Diceros bicornis minor: one gene and its partners. The protein of the gene in region 1 interacts with the protein of each later gene in a pairwise test. Links are inferred from orthologs where the notes say so. Each region holds a gene or a part of one and is shown in the gene's direction. Other genes may lie near its edges.

What was found. The genes of interacting proteins can lie anywhere in the genome.
Region 2: the proteins of STX4 (region 1) and plasma membrane ascorbate-dependent reductase CYBRD1 interact in binary tests that used the Homo sapiens proteins (3 or more experiments, as listed by UniProt). The two-hybrid records come from large-scale screens. The link is inferred for Diceros bicornis minor from reciprocal best matches to the Homo sapiens genes STX4 and CYBRD1.
Region 3: the proteins of STX4 (region 1) and NAPB interact in binary tests that used the Homo sapiens proteins (3 or more experiments, as listed by UniProt). The two-hybrid records come from large-scale screens. The link is inferred for Diceros bicornis minor from reciprocal best matches to the Homo sapiens genes STX4 and NAPB.

The regions. Positions count from the first base shown.
Region 1 is NC_080765.1:20,991,630-20,998,465, reverse strand, and holds the start of STX4 (syntaxin-4), read left to right. Parts: upstream 1-3,830; 5' UTR 3,831-4,054; coding exon 4,055-4,084; intron 4,085-4,272; coding exon 4,273-4,374; intron 4,375-4,464; coding exon of another isoform or gene 4,465-4,486; coding exon 4,487-4,586; intron 4,587-4,722; coding exon 4,723-4,797; intron 4,798-5,599; coding exon 5,600-5,670; intron 5,671-6,836. UniProt on the Homo sapiens protein: Plasma membrane t-SNARE that mediates docking of transport vesicles. Necessary for the translocation of SLC2A4 from intracellular vesicles to the plasma membrane.
Region 2 is NC_080749.1:52,860,473-52,867,659, forward strand, and holds the start of plasma membrane ascorbate-dependent reductase CYBRD1, read left to right. Parts: upstream 1-4,178; 5' UTR 4,179-4,315; coding exon 4,316-4,508; intron 4,509-7,187. UniProt on the Homo sapiens protein: Plasma membrane reductase that uses cytoplasmic ascorbate as an electron donor to reduce extracellular Fe(3+) into Fe(2+).
Region 3 is NC_080758.1:49,753,140-49,761,031, reverse strand, and holds the start of NAPB (beta-soluble NSF attachment protein), read left to right. Parts: upstream 1-4,883; 5' UTR 4,884-4,927; coding exon 4,928-5,025; intron 5,026-7,892. UniProt on the Homo sapiens protein: Required for vesicular transport between the endoplasmic reticulum and the Golgi apparatus.

The DNA.
Region 1 (6,836 bases):
GTCTGCCCCCTCCTTCCCCTAGATGATCCAAAGCAGGGCATCAATAGTTGGCAGCAAGTCCCCAAAGGTGGGTGGAACATGGGAAGCCAGTCCTGGCTAGTGTTTTCCTTGGGTCACAGTATAGTGGTTAAGAAAGAGCATAGACTCTGGACCTCCACTCTCTGGGTTCAAATTCCGGCTCTCTCATTTACTAGTGTGTAACTTTTGGCAAGTTACTTAACATCTCTGTGCCTCAGTTTCCTCCTTTGTAAAATGAGGACAATAATAGTACCAATCTCATAGAATTGATATGAGGGTTAAATGAGTAAATATCTATAACCTGCTTACATTGGTGCATGGCACAGAGTAAATGTTATGTAAGTATTAAACTAAAAAGAAATAATTTCATTCATTCATGAATGTTTATTGACCAGCTACTATGTGCCAGGCACTGTTGTAGGTGCTGGGGACACAGCAGTGAATGATGCAGGTGAAAATCCCTGCCCTCATGGAGCTTAGCTTCTAGCAGGGTGGACAGGACGGGTGAAGATAGACAATATATAAAATAAATAAGCAAAATAGAAGGTGTGTCAGATCCAAGTGAAGACATGAGAGATGTGCAGGACCGCTAGCCTAGGACCTGGTGCACAGTGGGGCTCAGGAGATGGAAAAGGAAAGGAAGAGCCTGGACAGGCAGCAGAGTGGAATCTCTGGCAGAGACACTGGGGCTGCGGACACCCTGGTGGTAAAAATCATCATCATTTCTGTCATATAATAGCATCAAACACTTATATAGCACTTATTCCGTACCAGGCACTGTTCTATTCACTTTACATATATCATCTCATTTAATCCTTACAGCAACCCTATGAGGTTGGTACTGTTACCGTCCTATTTTTCAAATGAGGGAACTGAGGCATGAAGAGGTTAAGTAACTTGTCTTATAGAGTTATATAGTAGTTGAATGAGCTGGGATTCCAACCCAGGTCATCTGGCTCCAGTGTTAATAGGATGGACCTATAGGTGGAGGGGACGGGACAGGCTGCCATGCCTCAGGAACAGGTAGGGCCCAACCTTCAGACAGATTGAAAAGAAAATACACACCGCCACCCCCCCCCAACACCCACACATGCAAAACCCAATATACTTAACACACACTTCAAAGCTGCTCTGAGGGCCTGAGAGGAGTAAAAAAGGACTATGAGACAGAGATAAGGGCTCAGCTCTGGAAAGCTCTATCCCCAGAGCCATTCTCCCTAGATGGCCCCTGCTCCCTGGCCCCTCCACACACCCCTCCATGAGGCTCTCAGCCTGCCCTCCTGTGGCCTTAAGCCACCATCGCAAAGCCCTGCGATCCTACCCAGAGACCACAAATAAAATGAATATCATAGTCCTGGGAAATTTAACAAAGGCACCAAGAACTCCAGATCACAGCTGGGAACCAAGAAGGCAAGTCATCAAAATGCTAAGAAACAGAGAGAGGCAGGTGGGACTCGTAGGCCCAGAGAGAGCTGGAACCCACAGTAGTGAAAGCTCACAGAGGGAGGAACTCTCCACAGTTTACAAGACCCTTCCAAATTCTTCTTAACCTCACTTGATATTGTTCAGTTCTTACCCTAGGCAAGACAGAAATTACCAGACCAAGTTGTCAAATGAAGAAATTAAGTCCCACAGAGGAGCAATGAATTATTCAAGATCACCCCCAGGACTAGGAGTCAGATGTCCAAAGCCCTTCCACTGTACCACTCAGAGTATGAGAGAGACAGACAGAGACAGAGAGAAAGAAGGGAGGAGGGCAGGGAGGCAGAGGCTAACATGGAAGATCCAGGAGCAGAGAAATCCTTCCTCATGATCTCCAGGGGACTCCACGGGGCAGGGTTTGGCCTCCTGAACCCTTCATTCTTTATTCCTCCTGTGGGTTGATCAGGGCAGCACATCCTCATTCCTTCATTCCCAACCCAGGCGAGCTGGATTCTAAAGGGAAGAGGAGAAGGATCAAAGTCTTCACATAGAATCAGACAGCACTTGACAGTTTCCAACCTCATATCACTGAACATTAGAGCAGGGAATACCCATCAAGATTATCTCCCCATCCTCCTACTGCCACCTATTGTGTAGATGGGGGATCAAAGCCCAGAGATAAGTGACTTTCCAGAAGTCCACAGCAACTCAGTCACAGGAATCTAGTTTTCCTTACCAGGGCATACTAGAGAGGGGCTATTCCTTCCCTTGCTTGAATCTTCATATAAGCACCCTGGAAAGAGCCCCGGGGTCCAGAAGACTTGATATCCATTCTGGCTATGCCGAGACTCACTGAGTAGTCTTGGGGACTCTTGCTATAGAATGTAAACTCCAGGGGCTGGCCCCGTGGCTTAGCGGTTAAGTGCATGCGCTCTGCTGCTGGCGGCCTGGGTTTGGATCCCGGGCGCGCACTAACGCACCGCTTCTCCGGCCATGCTGAGGCCGCGTCCCACATACAGCAACTAGAAGGATGTGCAACTATGACATACAACTATCTCCTGGAGCTTTGGGGGGAAAACAAATAAATAAATAAAAATTAAAAAAAAAAAAAAAAAAGAATGTAAGCTCCACAAGGGCAAGGCATTTTTGCCTCTTAGCCCTTGATGTATCTCCGGCCCCTAGAACAGTGTCTGGCCCATAGTAAACGCCCAATAAACATCCACTGAATGAATGAACCTCTAGAGGGCCAGGGTTAGGGGAGTGTCACCGTGAGAGCCTGAAGCCTGAAACAGAAGACTAGGGAACTATGAGCTTTATCTTCAGATGCATGAAAGGCTAAAATTCTGTCCACAAATATTTATTGAGGGCCCATTATGTGCTGGGTACTGAACTAGGTGCTGGCGATTCAGGTAAGAACAAGACAGTCATGCCCTGACCTCAAGAGCTCACAGTCCGCTATAATATGGAATGTGGGCAGAATGTTTTGTGGACTCCAGAGGGTAGACCTAGGTGCAAGGTGGGGGCGGGCGGGGGTGGGAGGGAGGTGTAAGTGGCAGACTGCTCAATATAATACATTTTTCTTAGCTTGAGCTGCCCTGAAATGGTCTCGCTGCTCAGAAGGTGATGAGTGCAGCAGGACTGCAATGTTCAAGCAGGGCGCCAGCCGCCCACCTGTGGGAAGCTGTGCCAGGAGTATGCGGAAAAAGAGATTTCTGCCTTGGGTGAGGTCACTTCCCACCCCCAGATTCTCTGCCTACAAAACCCTGCAATTCTCTGACGCTGGATCTTATTATTTTCTGAATTTCAAGGTCCCATAATGCTGACAGCCCCAAATTCTAAGTCGTCTGCCCACGGCCCTGGGCCCCAAAGAAATAAAGCTGAATTCAGCAAGGGTCCTACCACCCACTGCCTCAACAGGTCTCTGGGGATAGCGCCCCCTCCCCGCCTCGGTGGGCTGGAAGGGCGTAGCTCGGGCGCCGGAGTGCCGCGGACGTCGTGGGGAGAAGGATGTTTCAGATACAGAGTTGACAGAGCCAAGACACGTGACAGTCAAAGGCTCACGTTCTGTGGTCCGCGAGGCTGGGACCCGGTCGATCACGTGACGCAGGGGGGCACTATGGGGTGATGTGAGATGCAGGGCCTCTCACATTACGTACAAATGACGCATTCCCACCCCTTTTGGCAAGCAGATTTCCGTTGAAAGATGCGACAGTTCCGGTCGAGGGGGAGGGTTCTCACGTCCTGGCAGTTTTGCTTCCGTTCGGGGCGCTACAGTTTCCGACCTCTGCCTCTCCCTCGGGCGGGGAAGAGACGCGACCCCGTGCGCATGCCCTGAATCATCCCAGGGGGGCGGGGCCGAGGCCACCGGGGCGGGAGGGGGGAAAGAAAAGGGAATTCCAACCTGTGGAAACTTGGGGGTCCCCGAGGTCGCCTCCTTCCCATTGACTGTGGATGGTGCCAGGGACAGAGCCTCTGGAGGCTCGTGGGAGGTTTTGGGGTCCGCGGGGTGAGGGCGGAGGGGAGTGTCAGAGTGCCAGTGGGGTACCGGAGTTCCAAACTTAGAATCTTGAGGCCCTCGGGGCTCCGGCGCCGGGGAAAGAGAGCTCCGGCCGCCATGCGGGACAGGACCCACGAGCTGAGGCAGGTGAGAAGTCGGGGCAGCAGGGTTGGGGACGGGCGGACGGGGTGGGATCTGGCTGAAATGCAGGACTCCTGGTCTTTGGGGCAGGGAGGGGTGGCTGAGGGCTAGGAAGGAAAGACCCGGAAGCCCGTGAGTTCTGCGGGAAGAGAGCTACAGCAAGGAAGTGATGCCAGTGACCCTGGCCCTGGCAGGGGGATGACAGCTCGGACGATGAGAACAAGGAGCGGGTCGCGCTGGTGGTACACCCGGGCACGGCGCGGTTGGGGAGCCCGGACGATGAGTTCTTCCAGAAGGTAAGAGCCTGGAGTCCCGGCCTGGATTCACGAGGGAACTGGAAGACCTGAGGAGCAGCGCGGTCTGGAGTACCCCCATATCTCCTTCAGCCCTCTCGGTCACCCTCCCCAGGTCCGGACAATTCAGCAGGCTATTGTCAAGCTGGAGAATAAAGTCCGAGTGTTGGAGAAGCAGCAGGTCACCATCCTGGCCACGCCCCTTCCCGAGGAGGGTGAGTGAAACCCCGGGTGCAGAACGCACGCTCAGCCAGAGGGATTGTGGGGATTGCAGTTCCAGGCAGGTGGTGGCCAGGAAGATTTGTTGAGGTATAGGATGCTGTTTGGGAGTCATGGCTTTCTTTTGTTCAGGTATGAAGCAGGACTTGCAGAACCTGCGCGACGAGATCAAACAGCTGGGGAGGGAGATCCGCGCGGAGCTGAAGGGTGAGCTCCTAGGACCTCAGACAGATCCTTCCCTCTGTTCCTGCCCAGCTCCTGGCTTATGGGGAGTGTGTGGCCCAGAGAAGCCAGAGATATATCCAGGTCACACAGCAGGCCTAGATCTAGAATCTCTGTCTCCTGGCTTCCAGTCTACAGTACTTTCTCTCTTTTTTTTTTTTTTTTTGAGGAAGATTGGCCCTGAGCCAACATCTGTTGCCAATCTTCCCCCATTTTTTTTCTTTTTTCTCCTGAAAGCCCCCAGTACATAGTTGTATATCCTAGTTGTAAGTCGTTCTAGTTCTTCTATGTGGGATGCCACCTCAGCATGGCTTGATGAGCTGTGAGTAGGTCCACGCCCAGGATCTGAACTGGTGAAGCCCAGGCCGCCAAAGCAGAATGCACGAACCCAACCGCTGTGCCACTGGGCCGCCCCTCTATAGTACTTTCCATGGCACATGCCTGCCTCTTGAGGCTTTATTTGTAATGAAACCATTTACTCCTACAATTTTTGCTGCCCAGTGTGCATTCCTTGGGCAGGCAGATGGGGGTTTTGTTAGGAGGCCTCTGCGTACCTGTGAGAATTCTCTGATGTATTGCAAAGAAAAATATAACTTTTCTCTTGTCAAAAGTTCAGAATTAGTCATTTTATGATAAATTATATCCCCACCCCCAATCCTATGGAGATAAACACCTCTCTTTTGTATGGCTGGGGTATGGCCCTGGCCTTGTGTCCTGGTCCCTAAATGATTTTCAGAAGCCACAGGTGAAACCCCTCCCCCAGCAATACCCTTGTGTCTTCCCACAGCCATAGAGCCCCAGAAGGAAGAAGGTGATGAGAATTACACCTCGGTCAACACGAGAATGAGAAAAACCCAGGTGGGTTTGTTATTCCCAGAACTAGGTCATTTCAGTGTTTTATAGATCATTAGATGGCAGAAGTAAGAAGGAAGGGCCCTTCCTTCTTATTATCAAGTCCAACCTGATGATTTTCCAGATGGGGAAACTGAGGCTTAGAGAGAGAAAGGACTTACCCAAGTCCAAAACCCAGGTCTCCTCACTCCTAATCCATTCTAACACCCTGCCTTCTCCTCCATTCAATGAGAAGTTGTTGAGTCTCCAGACATGACCTGGGCTTGGCTGTGGGTAGACATGCTTTCTAGGAGCCAAGATGGGGAGTTAAACTTGAATAGGTGACAAAGACATTACTCAGGTAGGACTTGGTAGCTAATGGCTCTGCTCAGGGAAGAAGAGGGAGCAGTCATAAATGACTGGGAGGTTTCCTGCCCATGTGACAGGGACATCCTCTGCCCCATGGGCAGAAGTCAAGAAGTCCAGAAGAGGAACTTCCCTGGGGGAGGGAAGGTCACTGAATCACATCTTAGTAAGGAGATTTGAGGTGATGTGACCAGCCCCCTCTGGATGCCCAGTGAGGAGTGGTTTGGAGTTTATGGAGGTCAGAGTTGGAGTAGGTGGGCCCAGAGTTCAGCACAAGATTGAATATGGAGCAGTTTGGGCATCTTGAAAGGATACAGCTGAAGCCAGGATAGCAGATGTGTCTCTGAGGAAGGTAGTCCAATGAGCACATTTAAGGCAATAGGGGAATGGACAAGGCGAGAAGCCGTTTCAGGGGGAGCCTGTGATGGTCGTCAGTGGTCGTCAGTGTGAGAGGCTGACGGCCCAGGTGGACCTGTAATCTGGGCGGCAGGCTGACCTCCAGGCCCACTAGCACACCTCCCAGCTAAGCAATAAAACGGGTGTTCCGCCAGCATTCAACAGATTTATTGAGTGAGACAATCACCAAAATAAATAAGTAAATTATTTTAGAACAGAGTAAGTATTCAGGAAAAAAGAGCAGGAGAAGAGGGATTGAGAGCGCTGGGAGAAGGCAGGTTGCAATTTCAATAAGGTGAAGAAAACTTCATTTAGAAAGTGACATTGGAACAAAGACTCAAAGGCCTTTGTGGGGCCCGAGCATTCCAGGCCGAAGGAACAGTGAGTGCAAAGGCCTGAGGTGGGGGTGTGCTTTGTTCAGGGAGGAGTAA
Region 2 (7,187 bases), on another chromosome or scaffold:
TTTTATCTTGCCAGATGATTAGGAAGATACAAGATGATTAGGAAGAGCTAACAATTTCTTTCCTAAGTGCTTCCTGCCTCACCAGTTTTCCCCAAACCAACTCACACAAGATGATGATGGAAGCAATTTTAAAAATTAAATGGCGGGTCAGGTAGATCTTACAAAGCAGTATAGTGTGGAAGGAACAGAAGTAATGCCTTGGTCTAACCTCCCTCCCCTCCCCACCCAATGCCCCAATGCAGCTTCGGGAAGAGGATCTATTGAGTTAGGCCTTTTGCTTGGGCTCCTTTCAGGGTCCTCCCCTCAAACCCCTGTTCTCCCCAGACATCTTCCTCTACTCCTTGTATCTGCTTCCCAGTCTGCTGTACTATTCTGCTCCCTCAGCAAGAGAGTTACTTCCCATCTCTTCCCAAACTGGGGCTCCTCAGGCCATGGCCAGATACAAGTGAAATCATTCCTTACTCCAGCCACTTTCTTGGGGCGAGTGGACTCGGTGAGCCTCCTAAGGTAGGGAGGTGGTAGAGGCCAGTTCCATAGCCATTCTCCCCACAGCAAGAGCTGGGCTGATCTCTTCACCAATTCCCTCAGAGGAGAAACACCTCAGCAAAGTAGACATTTAGTTTTTTTCCCTGAAGACAACACAGTCTAGCTTCACATGAGGAAATTATATTCCTCCTATTAACATGGGTTTGATTGTGTTCTTTTCAAAACTGTAACCCTCACTTTATTTCACTAAGGAGCCTTTGACCACTGCCTGGGTTTGGCTTACATCCTGAGTCACGATGTCAGCTCTGAGTCGCTTTATCTTAGTCATCTGAGACAGCTTTCTGATCCCCAAATCTCTTGTCTAATAGAAGCGAGGACAGGAAGATGTGTGAGCTCATTCCTCCTGCTTGTGATTTTTTCTTGCTTCATGTATTCCTCCTTTCATAATATGTCCTAAGAAGACATAGACAATTAGGTGGGGCTAGGGAAACACTAGTATTAGATGAGAGTATTTTTCCACTTGTCCCTGTCAGGGTCCTGCAGGAAACAGCTAGTTTGCCCAAAGGATTTAATTGAAGAGAGTTTAATAAAGGGACTCTTTATAGAGGTGCAAACAGACTTAAGAGAACCCAACAAGGAATGGTGAAGACCCAGGACAAGCAAGAGCAGGCAGCCAATATTACACCTGGGCCTGCAGAAGCAAAGGGGTGTGGTGTTACTGGACCCTACAAGAGCTGTAGATATGGAAGACAGGCCAGTTGAAAGTTGACAGTCATCGTGGCAAAGAGGAACGCAACCACTGCAAAAACCATGGCCTGGCAAGGGGGCACAGAGGGATAAATAGGTCGACCTCTCTTTCTTCCTGCCCTCTGATCTCCTTCCAGAACCACCCATCGGCCAAAGCCAAATGGAAGCCAGTGGGCAAGGAGCCTGCCAGGGCACAAGGCAAGGCAAAGAAGGGTGGAGAATGGGGGGGCAAACAGAGTAACCAACACATAGTCAACATTTGCAAGTTTAAAAAATGGTCCACTTATCCCACAAAGCAAACCACTATGTACAACTTATCATACTTTACATTAGAATACTGGACCTCTGTATGCACCAAAAGAAATGCAACATTACTTCGTGGAAGTTCAACAGATAGATGGGTGGGGTTGGATTTTCTTTCCCTACCTTATCTTCTTACTCTGCATTTTATGTCTACGTCAGTGAAAATAAAAATCTGTGTCATTATGTACGTGTGTCTAGAATCACAGGTTTTTTGGAAGGTTGTCTTGTTCAATGCCTCACTTCCATGCCCCCCCCCCATCAGGAATCTCTTAGATCGAATTACTGACAGGTTATCTAGTCTGAGTAAGTACTTTGGTGACAAACTGTTTACCATCTCCTATTATTGGACAACTCTGTTAAAAAAAAGTTCTTAACACTAAGCCACTTAGTGAAATTTTAGTGAATACTTAGTGAAAATTTTCCTTTTCCAAGTGACAAGTTTTATCAAAGTTAGGTCCTTAAAGGACAACTTAACAGTTGAAATTCTCTGTTTAGCTTGTAACTTCAAGCTGATTCAACACCATCCGTACCATTTGGCCATGTTTTCTTTTCCTGAGATGTTTTGTTAAATGGGCTCTGGAATCCCGGAGATTCTTATTTGCTGCTGCTATGGAGCAAAATCAACTCGAGTGGAGTGAAGATATTGAGTTAAGGGGGTGAAGAAGTTAACTGGGGACAAGGACTAGATACTTTCAGGGAGAAGAATAGGGACACAATGACATTCTTGTTCAAGAACTACTAGCTAAAGGTCACAGAGGAAGAGAAACAGCATAAAATTAAACAGGGCATGTATACAGCACTCAGGAACCAAATGACTGAAAATATAGAACTGGAAGATTCAGTATAGTCTCTATTTATTCCTGTGGATCTACTCTCACCCTTCTCCACTCTGCTGTTTGTCCCCAGAGGCTGACCTATATGAACTGCATCAACTGCCCTCTGGCTTCCGATTAGGTTCAACCACTGGGTCCCTGGGCAGGAGATTGGAGGGGAAGAGAGTAAGGCTGGAATATTCATCCTGCCTCCCATTCTTCCTCCCTATGGGGTCCCTGCAAGCTGGCTGCATCCTTCAACTCAAGGCCATAGTCTCTCTCTATCTCTCTCTCTCTTTCTCTCTCTCTCTCGGGATTCCAGTAGCCATCTCCCCACTCAGGCCTGGACACTGCAAAACCCTTGTGGTTTCACACACCCTGCCCACAACTTTGTAAATAGTCCTGTGCGTTATTAAATTGCCCAATTGGAATGTGCCATCTGTTTCCTGCCATTTATCTCCCAACAAACATATTGAGTAACTACTATATGCCAAAGAAAAATAAAATGATAAATTAGACAGTTATAGCCTCGAGGGGGCAGTCAAGGGAGTGGAGACAGCCACAGAAACAGATCTTTATATATTACATCTTGATAAGTGATGCAGAGAGGCATTGGATGGAGAGGTGGGCGGAGGTGTAAAATAGGCGTATAGGCAAACTCAAAGAAGGTTTCTTGGTGGAGATGGGGTTGGGCAGGGAAGTCGGTAGGGAGTGGTCAGGAGCTGGGAGAGAAGTTTACCGCCATGGATAGGTTGATTCAGTCAGGGCCAGTCAGGTTGTGGTAAAGGATTAGAGTGGAGGACTAGACTGGGCCAGACCACAGAAAGCCTTCTACTGTGGGAAGCAGTCCTTCTTTTCCATTTGCTTACTCTCCCTCTCTTTCTCTACACCAAGGGAAAAATAATGATACCGCTGAGGTCTGCAGCCTCTTATTCTTAGCCCTTAATCCTGCTACTACCAGGGTTTGACACTCCTACTTGTTGGCCTAAAACCTGTCTTTTCCATTTAAAATCACTCCTATGCACTTCTTGAACCTTCTAAGGTCTTTCAAAATGGCAACAAGACAATATGGTATACTAGTCCTTAGAGAGGAGCTACAGGAGAGAGTTAGAAGTGAACGTTCCCAAATACATTCTAGAAGTCCTAATAGCCAGAGCCCTGTTCCTTTAATAGCAAGAGAGAACACCGACACATTTTTTGTCCAATTGAGAAGAGTGATAATAATGTTGGAAAGAAGGGAGGGCGTGAGCCTCACTTCATCAAGGCGGGGCTTTGGTCCAAATAGATTTGGGCAGGGGGCCACTTTTAGGATCCATTTTTTATTACACTACATAGGCAAGTCCAGGGTCCAAGAGATGTCTGTCTTCCCTCTCTAAAGCGCAAACTGCAAATAGTTTCCTTGCTAGGTAAGGCCAAGCCTATACCGCCCCACAGAGTCCTGCTTGGCGCTTGGCGCTTCCTTGACATCCAAGACAGCCAACCTTCTAGGCCTGGGGCTTAGAGTGCTTCGTTAATCAAAATCACACACACTCCACCCAATGGACCTTGTTTTCTGTTAACCGAGAGTGCGCACCACTGCCTTATTCAGCCTCCCACAAAGAAGGAAGAGACACAAGAAAAGTTAAAGTGGTGGTTTGGGATTCTCGGAGCTCTAGCTCTGAACAACTAACTGGTTCAGTTACTTGAGCCCTCGGCCAGCTCGGACGCCGGGCCAGGGGGCGGCCACCGCGCAGAGAGCTCTCGGCGGCCGCGAGATCCCAGGGGTGGGGCTGGTTTCTGAGCGAGGGCCAGCTGCCCACCCCGTGGAGGCCCCACATCTCTGGCTAGCCGGCGAGAAAGCCCCTCCTCCCGGGCGGAGACAGCTTCAAGAAGTCGACGCCCGCGTCCTGCCGCGGGGCTGGTACCCAGAGGCCGCCGCCGCCTCGCCGACTTCTTGTGGCTGCCCGGGCGCGGAGTATGGGACTCTGATGGCCATGGACGGCTACAGGGGCTTCCTGGGGCTGCTGGTGTCGGGGCTACTCGTCGGCTTCCTGTCCGTGATCTTCACCCTCGTCTGGGTCCTCCACTACCGGGAGGGGCTCGGCTGGGATGGGACCGCGCTCGAGTTTAACTGGCACCCGGTGCTTGTGGTCACTGGCTTCGTCTTCATCCAGGGCATCGGTACTGGGCGTCTCTTGGAAAGCGACCGGGAGGGAGGCGCGGGTTGGGGGTCCCCGACCTAGTCCCAACCGAGTGGGGCCGACGTGGTCGAGCGAAGGGGTGAGGGAAGAGCGAGGGGCGCGCGGGCGCCGGGGAGCCGGGGGCGGAGCGCGCCCCCGAGCCGAGTCGGCGGGGCGCGCAGCGGGAGGGAGGTGGGCGTGCTCCGGCGGGGCCGAGCTGGGACTTGGGCCGCCGCGGGCGATCGCGGGAGTGGCGGCGCCGGGACGGGGCGCCCCGGCGCCCGGGGTTCGCTGTGAGGCGCGTTACGGGGGGCGGCTGGGCACAGCGGCGCGGAGCGGGCGCGGCTCCACCTGCTTAACTCTGCTGCGAGTGGCTTGGACGCAGGGGAGGTGCCAGAGCGCCGTGCGGCCCGCAGGCCACTAGCGCCGGAAAGTCGCCCCCTGTGGGCCGAGCCTGCGCAGTCAGGGGCGCGGAGACTCTGCTAGGCGAGGCCTTTCGTTGGACTTGCTTCAAGTTAGGAGAATTGTAGATTAGGAGAGCGAGGCAATCGGGGGAAATGGAGGGGCGAGAATCTGCCTCTTCTTGTCCCATCGTCAGCCTGAGTGGAGGGGCTGGTCAGTCGGAAGCTGGGGCATCAGCATCTGGATTCACTCCTCTTAGAGCGTTAGACTCAGTCGAGCCCGAGAAGCTGCCAGGTCTCCAGAGGGTGTTTCGCTGCCCTGCCTGGTCATTGGTCAGTCTTGAGCCCAGCGTGTTTTTGTGGCTGTCGACTGGCGCAAGTTCGCTGGCGAGGCCTCCTGTTGGCCGCTGCCGGGAACTCCGGGCAGGAAATGCCCGCCGGCGGCCGGCGACGAGCCCGCTCCGGGCCTGCTTGCTCTGGGCTGAGGCTGGCGCGGCGGGAGGGGTCAGTCCGTGGCGTTTTTTCTTCTCTGAGGTATAATTAATTGACATATAACATTATATTAGTTTCAGGTGTATAATGTGATTCTGTATATATATATATAGCGAAATGTCACAATAAGTCTAGTTTACATCCGTCACCTCACATAGTTATAATTTTTTTTTCTCATGTTGAGAACTTCTAAGATCTACTCTCTTAGCAACTTTCAGATATACAAAACAGTGCTATTAACTGTTGTAACCATGCTGTACATTACATCTCAAGGACTTATTTATTTTATAGCTGGAAGTTTGTACCTGCACCCATTTCGCCCGCCCACCCCCCTCTGGCAACCACCAATCGACGGCAGTTTTCATTGTCCTTGCGTAGTGCGGTTCACAACGCCCTGACAGTTTCCTTGGCTGCTGTTTGGCTGGAGGAACCTCTAGGTAGTGGTGCAGCGCCCTTTATTTGTAACCACTTTCCAAAAAGTGAACTCAAGGCCTTGGCAGAGAAAGTATTTAGAAAAAGAAAGTAGTGGCCTGGGGTTATGTCGCAGAAAGTAATCGAGAGGAGAGGAAAGGGTTCGGAAAGAGGTGCCCACCGGCTGAAGAATCTAGCCTTGCTTCTGAACAGGCTGCCTTTTCTCCACCAATATTTAACTCTCCACAAGCAACAAAAAAGCTCCGACCTCATTCGTAACAAAAAGATTTTTGTTTCCACTTAAAATTTGGGCTGCAGCCTTCGGAGGGTATGGCTGCCTTTCTTCCACTCTGGGATGTAGTGGGAGACGTTGCTAAAGCCCAGCCTTGGTCTCAAGGCTTCCTGGTATGGGAATTGGCACCGGGGTGTGAGTACTGCTGGCCAGCTAAGTTATTTCGTTGCATAAGACCCAGTTATTTTGCCACTAAACTAAAATGAGAAAAACATACTCAAGTTCCAAAGTCGCTGACATCAGAACTCTTTCCTTCCTGGTGGAGCCCTTAAGTTTGGCCAGAGCTGTCAACACCATCTGTTTGCTCAAAGCAGTAGTAAGTCTCTTCATCTCTTCCAGCCAATGCTTCAGAGCAGCTCCTAATACCAAAATACTTTCCAGAGGTTCTGGAATATCTTCTCGTATTTGGGGAAAAGGGAAACTTCCTGACTTACCAAAGGGGAGACAAAGTCACAAAACAATAGCTAACATTTATTGAGTGCTTCCTGTGTGCCCACTAAGGGCATTATTTCACAGGTTTCTAAGAGTAAATGGAAGCACAGAGCAGTTAAGTAACTTACCCACGGAAGTCATATAAGCGTTTTCAGTGGCCTTTATTCAAGGTTCATTTCTCTGCTTTAATGGCAATATGCCTATTTTCTGTAAAATATTCTTTTTAGAGGCATAAAAAACTTACTTTAAAATATACTTTAAAACTCTTCATGTTAGAGTCCATTACAGTTTTCCTAAAATAATTTCTAATTTCTCTAAACTTTGGAATTTTCTTAATCTGTTTATACTCACTTTTGGGCAAAAATCTGTAAATGGATGTTTTGGAAATTTTCATCTGCTGCTTTTATGCAAACCTTGTTTTCTTTAAGTTTAGTTACTGTATTTGTGTTAGTTTTGGAATGTATGTTCTGTCAACATTACCTATCCTGTTTAGTATTTGGATTCCAGATTTGCAAAGCACTTTAATCACATAATACATCTCATTGACATGAACATAAACTTTTTCATACACATAGGCACATGCATAGTACTCCTGAGTTCCTACAAATCTCGGCCCACCTGTACCTCCTCGCACACAGCAGTAGGAAGGCTC
Region 3 (7,892 bases), on another chromosome or scaffold:
ACACACACACACACATACACAAACCAATGTTGATTTGAAAAGTTAAAAAAAATTATAAGAAAAAGCACTTATCTAATTATTTGTCTGAAGTTCCCATTCAAATGCTCTCGAGTTTTGCAAGTCCATGAGGAAAAGGAAAAGAACCACTGTAAACAGAGTGAATAAATTCTGTCCTTAAAGCTGCACAAAGTACAGAAGCCCCACCTCAACACCAGGAATGGAGAACATTCATTTTCATGAATTCATTACTTTTATGCTTTTGGATGAAGAGCCTACTGGAATGGCTTCCTTTCTTCCCTGCCTTCTAAAGGGGAGCACGCTGCACAGACTTGGCCTTGTCCAGCTGCCTCCGAGCCACTCTTATTTTGCAGACAGAAGCGAGGCGGAGATGTCATTGGAGGAGGAGCTGAAGGCCGGGCAGGGCCCCTCGTGGCTCCAGGGCCCTTGGAGGTAAGGGGCTGCTCCCCAGCCCCCACAGGGAGACTCCAGCTTCACAGCTTTGTCAATGTAACTGGAGTGGACCAGGGTGGGAACTGGCTCCCCTGAACCTAACTGTGGTTGTTTTAACATGTCTGTAAACCCTTCGAGATCCACCCCCTGAATATGGGTGAGCCTGAGTGATTTGCTTCAGGGAAGCAGGAGTGATGGCTCAGAACTTTGGAGACTAGATCATAAAGGTGATCCACCCGCCACCCGGCTCCCCCTCCCCCCAGCACCTTTGACGCCCGGGCCACCATGTAAGAGACCAGAGAGTGATGCGAGGATCTGTGGCTGCTCTGGCCTTTTGAGTCTTCTCATCCCAGGCACCAGGCATGTGCGGGAAGAGGAGGCCCCAGCTCTGCTACCATCTGACTGAGAACTCCCCAGCTGAGCCCAGTCCCTAAAACCCCTAAGACCACAGGCGATAATACTAATAAATGACTGTTGTTTTACACCACTAAGTTGAAGTGGGGAAGCAGAACCCTAAGTATACAATTATCCATGGATGAGAATGCTAATCTATGAATCTGTAATGTAATGAACACCATGACTGCCCATGGGGACCAGAACACACCTATTGGTCCTCAGCGCATACTCTCTCTGTCTTAGTTTGTGTCCTCCCAGAAGGAGACCTTGAGACAAGGAGTCTAGAGAAAGCAATTTATCGGGAGGTGACATCAGCAGGCAGCACCAGTGGGGTGTGGGGGCAGGGAAAGGAAGGAAGTCAATAAAGGGTATAGAACAAACGACCTTCTACTGTAGGTAGCTGGTGCTCCTTCCCACTGGGGCCCTCTAAGAGAGAGTATAGAACATTCCTCAGAGTTGTCCCACCAGATGGGTATTTATCCTTCCACTTCCCAACAGTCATTGATTGAGGGCTGCTCCCAGGAGACAAAGAGGCATTAATTCCTCTATTAATAAAGCTAATTAATCCCCCTACTCCTCCAGCGTTCATGCAGAGCAGGCTGGAATGCCAAAGAGAACCCCCAGGAGAATTGCAGGTGACAGTAGTTGGGACCAGCAAGCATGTGAATATTAAGTGCTAGTCATGATCAGCAGTTTCCAACTGACTTTGGAATTACAGGGAGGGGAGGTGGGTGACACTAAGTGACCTTAGTAACTGGTAGCTGCTGCTGGACCCTGAGTAGTGTGAGCAGCTGCACTCAGCTGCATGGCGGTTATTCACCCAGTGCACTAGGCATCTGCACTAGCCAGTCAGGAGGCCAGCCCAGGCAATCCTGGAGGTACACTGCGTTTGTGCCTGCTGCACTCTCTCGCAGTGCCGAACTCCACACAGGACTCTCTGCATGCCACACCCCCTTCTATGAACACACGCAGATGGCCACACCTTGTTTTCCCCATGGGTCCTTTTCTGACCCTGCTTCTCTTAGAGCTGGCTGTTCTCAAATGGCTTCAGCCTTGCCTTTGCAGGCCACCTCTCAGGGTGGGTAGTTGGACACTCGACATTCCAATCTAACCTCATGCGTTCATTCAGTCTGAGTGTCTTTGTGTCTACTCTGATCTGCTCATAAGGAAAGGCCTGCAGGTTCTGCTTGGCTCTGCCTTGTTCAGGGTGCAGGCACCTCCTTTCCTGCTCATCTTCCCAGAAATGCAGTCTGAAGCCTTTTTCCTCTTTTCTTCCAAGTGTCCAGAGCCATTGAAAGGCAAGGTGTGTATAGGCCAGCATTGTCCACCAGAACTTCGTACAATGACAGAAATGTTCCATATTTGTGCAGTCCAATATGGCAGCCACTAGCTACCTGTGGCTATCAAGCAATTGAAATGTGCCTAGTGTGACTGAGGAACAAAATTTTGTACCTTATTTCATATTATTTGGTTTAAATTTAAATGGTCACCTGTGGCAAGTGGCCACCATCCTGGTCAGCACATGTGTAGGCCACAGGTCCTTTCGATCTACTCCTGGACAGCTCCTACTCGAGGGCCTCACTCCCTCCCTGGTCCACACCAGAGCAGGTCTCCTTTTCTTTCACCCTTCAAAAATGCCTCATCTGTCCCCCTAGTTGGTCCTTATTCTGTGAGGTTTGTCTCTCTGCTTTGCCAAATCCCCTCACCTAGACTCTGGGAGAAGAAAACACACGCTGTACACAATAATTAAGGTTTGAAGTTTTTCTCCCAACTGAGCCTGGATTGGGGGAACAGGAGGAGTGCCCATGATAAAGAAAATGAGGGAAATACCCAGAAATATCAAAAACATCGAGATGTACTCCCGCCACCCTTAGTTGCAAGTTCTAGCTTAGAGGAGACAGTCCATTCTACCTCCTTTTAAGCTGACTATAGATCTAAGAATCTAAAATTGTATGCTTTAGAATAGTGGTGGAGAATTCTTTTTAATATGTGCACTTCCTAGACCGCAACTCCAGGAGATCCTGATACAAAAAGCTGGTGGCTTAGGAATCAGTATTTCTTGAACATCCTTTAGAGTTTTTGCATTGAGCCAGCTTTGGGAACTGCTTTAATCAACATCTTGATGCTGCTCGTAGGAGCTTTCAAGTTGGCCCAACTCCATTAAATCCCCATAGACTGCTCTGCTTTTCAAATGCTGATGTCCACTTTTTGCAGTTTATTTCTTTACTCCTGCATTTATTGCTGAAGCCGGGTACCTGAGGGTTACTGTAAATATTCAGTAAGAACATGACTACCCTTCGATCTTGTTCCCAACACAGACATAGATGAAAAGAAGTTAATCTTGCTGACTTGCTGTTTTCTTGTTTAACCTGAGGGGTGACTCAAGGGTCACAAGGATTTATGAACTTGTCTTGCAGAAGAAAAACAATGTCTTTAAGGAGGTTACGATCACCAGATAACCAGGCCCCAGCTGCTGTTGACACCCAGAAGTCCGGCTGCCCAAAGACTTATCTGGAGTGAAAGAAACACGGATTTCCCCTTTGTTTCTCTAAAATTCTTCCTGCCAAGCCTCTTAGCTCTACAAAGACCCCCTGTTTTCTTCTTTTGTAAAGGTGGATCTGAGAGAATCCATTGTCCTGCCTTCTCGCTTTGGCCCATTCAAATAAAACTTTCTCCATCTCCAAGCACTGGTGTCTGAGTGTTCGGCTTATTTCACATTGGGCACACAAACTTGAGATTAAGAGGTTCAGTATCACTGCCACCTTTAATTTTCTGCCTCCTTCTTCCCCCATACTGCTCCAAAAGCACACACATAGCTTTTGGAAGTTAGAATAATGCATGTAGTAAGAGTAAATAAACTCTGTCTGAAGATGTGAGACTTCCTTCTCTCTCTAGAGTGCCTGCAATGCGTGGACTCTGTGACACGTGCTTTAGTTACCTTTCTTTCTAGGAGTTGGCCCTCTTGCCTTGCTGTCTAAAGACAGGATTCATTTTCTTAGATATATTTTGTGTGCCAGAGCCCACAGTGTATTTATTAATAGTTTGAAATTGTCACAAGTTCTCATTTGGCAGTGATTTTCATATTTGCTTCACCACCTCTGCTTTAGTATTGCCAATGTAAATGGTCTAGAGTTTGTATTAAAAAATAACTCCCTCTGGGACAGGCCTGGAAATCCTTAGCACCCGAGGGCATCTATCTATGGATACTTCTCCTAGAAAATTAGACGTCTTCCTGGCAGGCAGGACTTGCATCCCAGGAGATGCACTCTCTATGGTCACCATTATATAAAGGATAAGAGAGCTCAATGGCTCACATCCATTGAAAAGAATTCAGTCAATAAAAAGAGTAGATTGGTCATTAATGCAACTCATTAACAATCAAAGAAGAGAGGAGAGACAGAAAGGTACAATATGGGGAGACTGAAAACTAACTCTGAATTCATACTAGCGAAAATGATATATTCTTAAACGTCTTGCTCGGGAGATAAAAATGGCTGTTTCTGCGAGCTGTTGCTGGTGAGTGCGTGGGCATCACAAGGTTAATAAAATTGCTTTCGGAGGCTGCTTTAGCTCCTTTGCAGAGCTGGGGCATAGGTTGAGCGTTCCAGTCTGTTATCCGTTTCCTCATCCATCCCATTGCCATGTGTCAATCCTGACGAGCAGGGATTTTTGAACCAACGTGATGCTGCGTATTTGAGTTGATGATTACTGGAAGCCAGGGGTCATTTTCCATTTCCCGCATACCTAAACGATTAAAATTTACCTTGGCCTAGGACCCCTACAGAGGGTCACACTCCCCGGGCGCCCGCGGTCTCCACGCTCGGTTCCCACCACACCCAGCTCTGCGGCGAGCTGGCAACTGTAGTCGACCGGCGAGCTTCGCCGCCGCCAGACCCGGGACCACAAATCCCGTCAGGCCGCGCGGCCGCGTCTGCGCTCCCCGCCTCCAGACCCGGGACTACAAATCCCGTCAGGCCGCGCGCCGCGCCTGCGCTCCCCGCCGCTACGAGAGGCGAGCGAAGCCTTGGACGCCGCGTCCAAGCCGCCTGAGGAGGTTTTGGCGGCGGCGGCGGCCGGCGACATGGACAACGTGGGGAAGGAGCGTGAGGCGGTGCAGCTGATGGCGGAGGCTGAGAAGCGAGTCAAGGCCTCCCACTCCTTCCTCCGAGGGCTGTTTGGGTGAGCGCCAGACCGCGCGTGCCCTGAGGGTCTCTGTCCCGGGCCCCTCCCTGGCTGGCTGCCCCCCGCGCCTCCCTTGGGGTCCCCCGGAGCCCGCAGAACGCCCCAGGGGCCCTCAGCCCCACACACCCTCCAGGGCCGCAGAGCTCCCCCCCAGCCCCTCGGCCCGGCGCTGTCCCCCTCGGTGCGGGGGTCCCCGGCCTCGCGGGCCCGCGGTAGCCGGGGGTGCGCGGGCCCTCACCGCCGTGCCCGGCCGGGGTGTTCCTCTGGCGGCGGCTGGACGCGTTGCTCGGGGCCCGGTGTCGGGGGTCGTGAGGCGGCCCCGCGGGCGCCGGAGGGGCGTCTGGGCGCGTCCCCGCGGAGGGGCAAGTGGCCGCGGCGTCCCCGTTCCAGCGGTCAGGGGCCGTGTGCCTTGCACCGAGTGGGCATTTGGTGAATTGTCGTGGGTGAACGAATGCGTCTTCTCGGCATAGTATTTTTCCTTCACCGGAGACTGGTGTCGTGGCCAGGGCCTCCTATTTGGTTATGGATGAGGCGGCGCCTGTTGAAGGCAGCGTCCTTGGGGGAATCCCGTTAATTTTCTATAATTTTTCCGTGCTCTCTAGGGAAGGTCTTAAATTCGGACTTCCCCAGAAGCAGAGCCTGCACTGGCAGTTGTTGGAAGAATTATGGACGGTTGAATGAATGATTCAGCTGTTTAGGATGAGAGACAGAAATTTCGTAGTGGTTTTTTGTTTTGCCTTTTGAAAGCAAAAGATCCTCTGTCGACACCAAGAGCGTGTTCTCGTTCTTGAGAAGCACCGGTGGCCCCTACTTAACCATACCATGATTAGACACAGTTTTATTTCTGTACAAATTCAACGTGGAACCTGCTTTTTTTGCCACGTTCGTTCTTTTGGTTATAATACTTTACAGTTGTTGATGCATCTGCTGGAAATGCTTAAATGCAGGTTTCATGCAGTGCACAGTAGTACGGGCTGCAAAGATGCATAAACGTAAGAGTCCTTGTCCTCAAGAACCTCTCAGAAGGCATTTATCCCAGCTGGTTTCCGTACTTCTCATGTGATGTGTGGTTTGGAATATAGCAGTGAATTTTAAGTTTCTTTCCCTTTCAAAGTAATGACAGTACATGAGGAACGCTGCCTAATCTTGATGCTATCCTTAAAAATAGATTATTTCTCCGATTCACAAAACATTTAAATTTATTCAGATTAAATTGAGTGTTATGGTACCTCAAGCCAGGAGGTGATCTTAATGTCACAGCGTATTTCAAGCCAGGATGTGCTTCCCTGGAAGAGACAGAGGAGGAAGGCATTACAGTCCTTGATGCTTGTTTCAGCGGAACATTCCTTTTTGTGAAGAGGTGTTGCGTTGTTGGTTTTGTGAAATTAGGCCAAATCTTGAGCCAATAATTCTAAAAGGATTTTGAAAAGCCTTTTTGTTTTGAAAGAACCGTCTCTTTTCTCCTTGACTATTGATCACCTATTTCATTGACAGGCCATATAAGAAGACTTGCATCTTCACCATTCACACTCAGTTTGGGCAAAGTTATTGCATCCTAGGTCAGACCTTGGTATAGCAGGTCATTTTATTATCCTAGCTTTGGGACCCGGGGCAAGTTACTTAGCCTCTCTGTGCCTCAATTCCCTCTGCTATAAAATGGGAGTAATAACAGTTCTTCTCATAGTGAGGGGTCAGTGAGTTTATGCTTGTGAAGTGTTTAGTACTGTTGGAGCTGGTGATTATGAAATATTAATTAGCATATTCAGCCAAATTGTCAGCCTCAGTTATTTATCAAGGAAGCAGAGAGCCAGATAGATTGACTTTTCCAGGATTTCAGAGCCAAAGACCTTTTGAACTGGATCATTGGTCTTTTAATGAAATAAAATATCCGAAAGAGCCTGGTACCATGAAGTGTTATGGAGGACTGTGTTATTTTCAGTAATACTTGGGTCCAGCAAAGCTTGGGGAAGAAGAATACTCAGAGTTCTGTGAGTTTTAATAGTGTTATATAATTATTTGAAGCCAAAAACCAAGCCTAGTTTCTCTGTCAATTACAATGGGAAGATAAATTCTGTATCAATTTTAGATGTTTAGAATCCTATGTTGTATGTGGCGTCACTTGCACCTGTCATCACCCTTCTAGGCTGGAATGCATGTTACTCTCCCCTGCCCCCATTTCCTTAGCTGTAGAATTTTCCTTGCTAATCGTCTACTTGTTATCCTTTATTTAAACCATGGTAGACCCTCTTTGAGTCAGACTCCTGAATTAACAAAGTAACATACATACCAGGTATCATCTGAGCCCATATATTGATAAGAGCTGACCAGTTAGTGCTTTCAAGAGGACAGGTGATGCTGTTTTGAGGCTGTGGCAGCCATTAAAAGCTGCTCAGCATATTGCAGATATTTCAGATCACAGACTCATTCTCAGCATCCTAACTGCAGATTAAAACCTATTCATCTCCTTCACTCAGTGTTTATCCACCATCCAACACTGGTTTTGTGGCAATACTGTATTCTCACTACTCTTCTGTAGCTCTTCCTTTTGTGTTGCTTTCAGTAAAATTAGATGAAAATATGCATTGTATATTTCTGAGAAAGGGTCAGTCATGTATTTCTTCTGTGTGTAAGGCACAGGTCTCATGCTTGTCTGCAAGATGTCAGTGTTCCTTCCCCAAATCCCCCCTGCTGGAAAAGAGCTGCTGAGGGACCAAAGCATCACGAGAACCACTGTTAGACAGTGTTGTGTTTTTGTAGTTGTGGAATTAAATTAAAACTTCCTCTTTCTAAAGGGCTTAGCATAGTAGAGTAAAACTGCCACAAAAAGAATAGGTTTTCATTTCATTTGTTTCCAGCGATGAGCT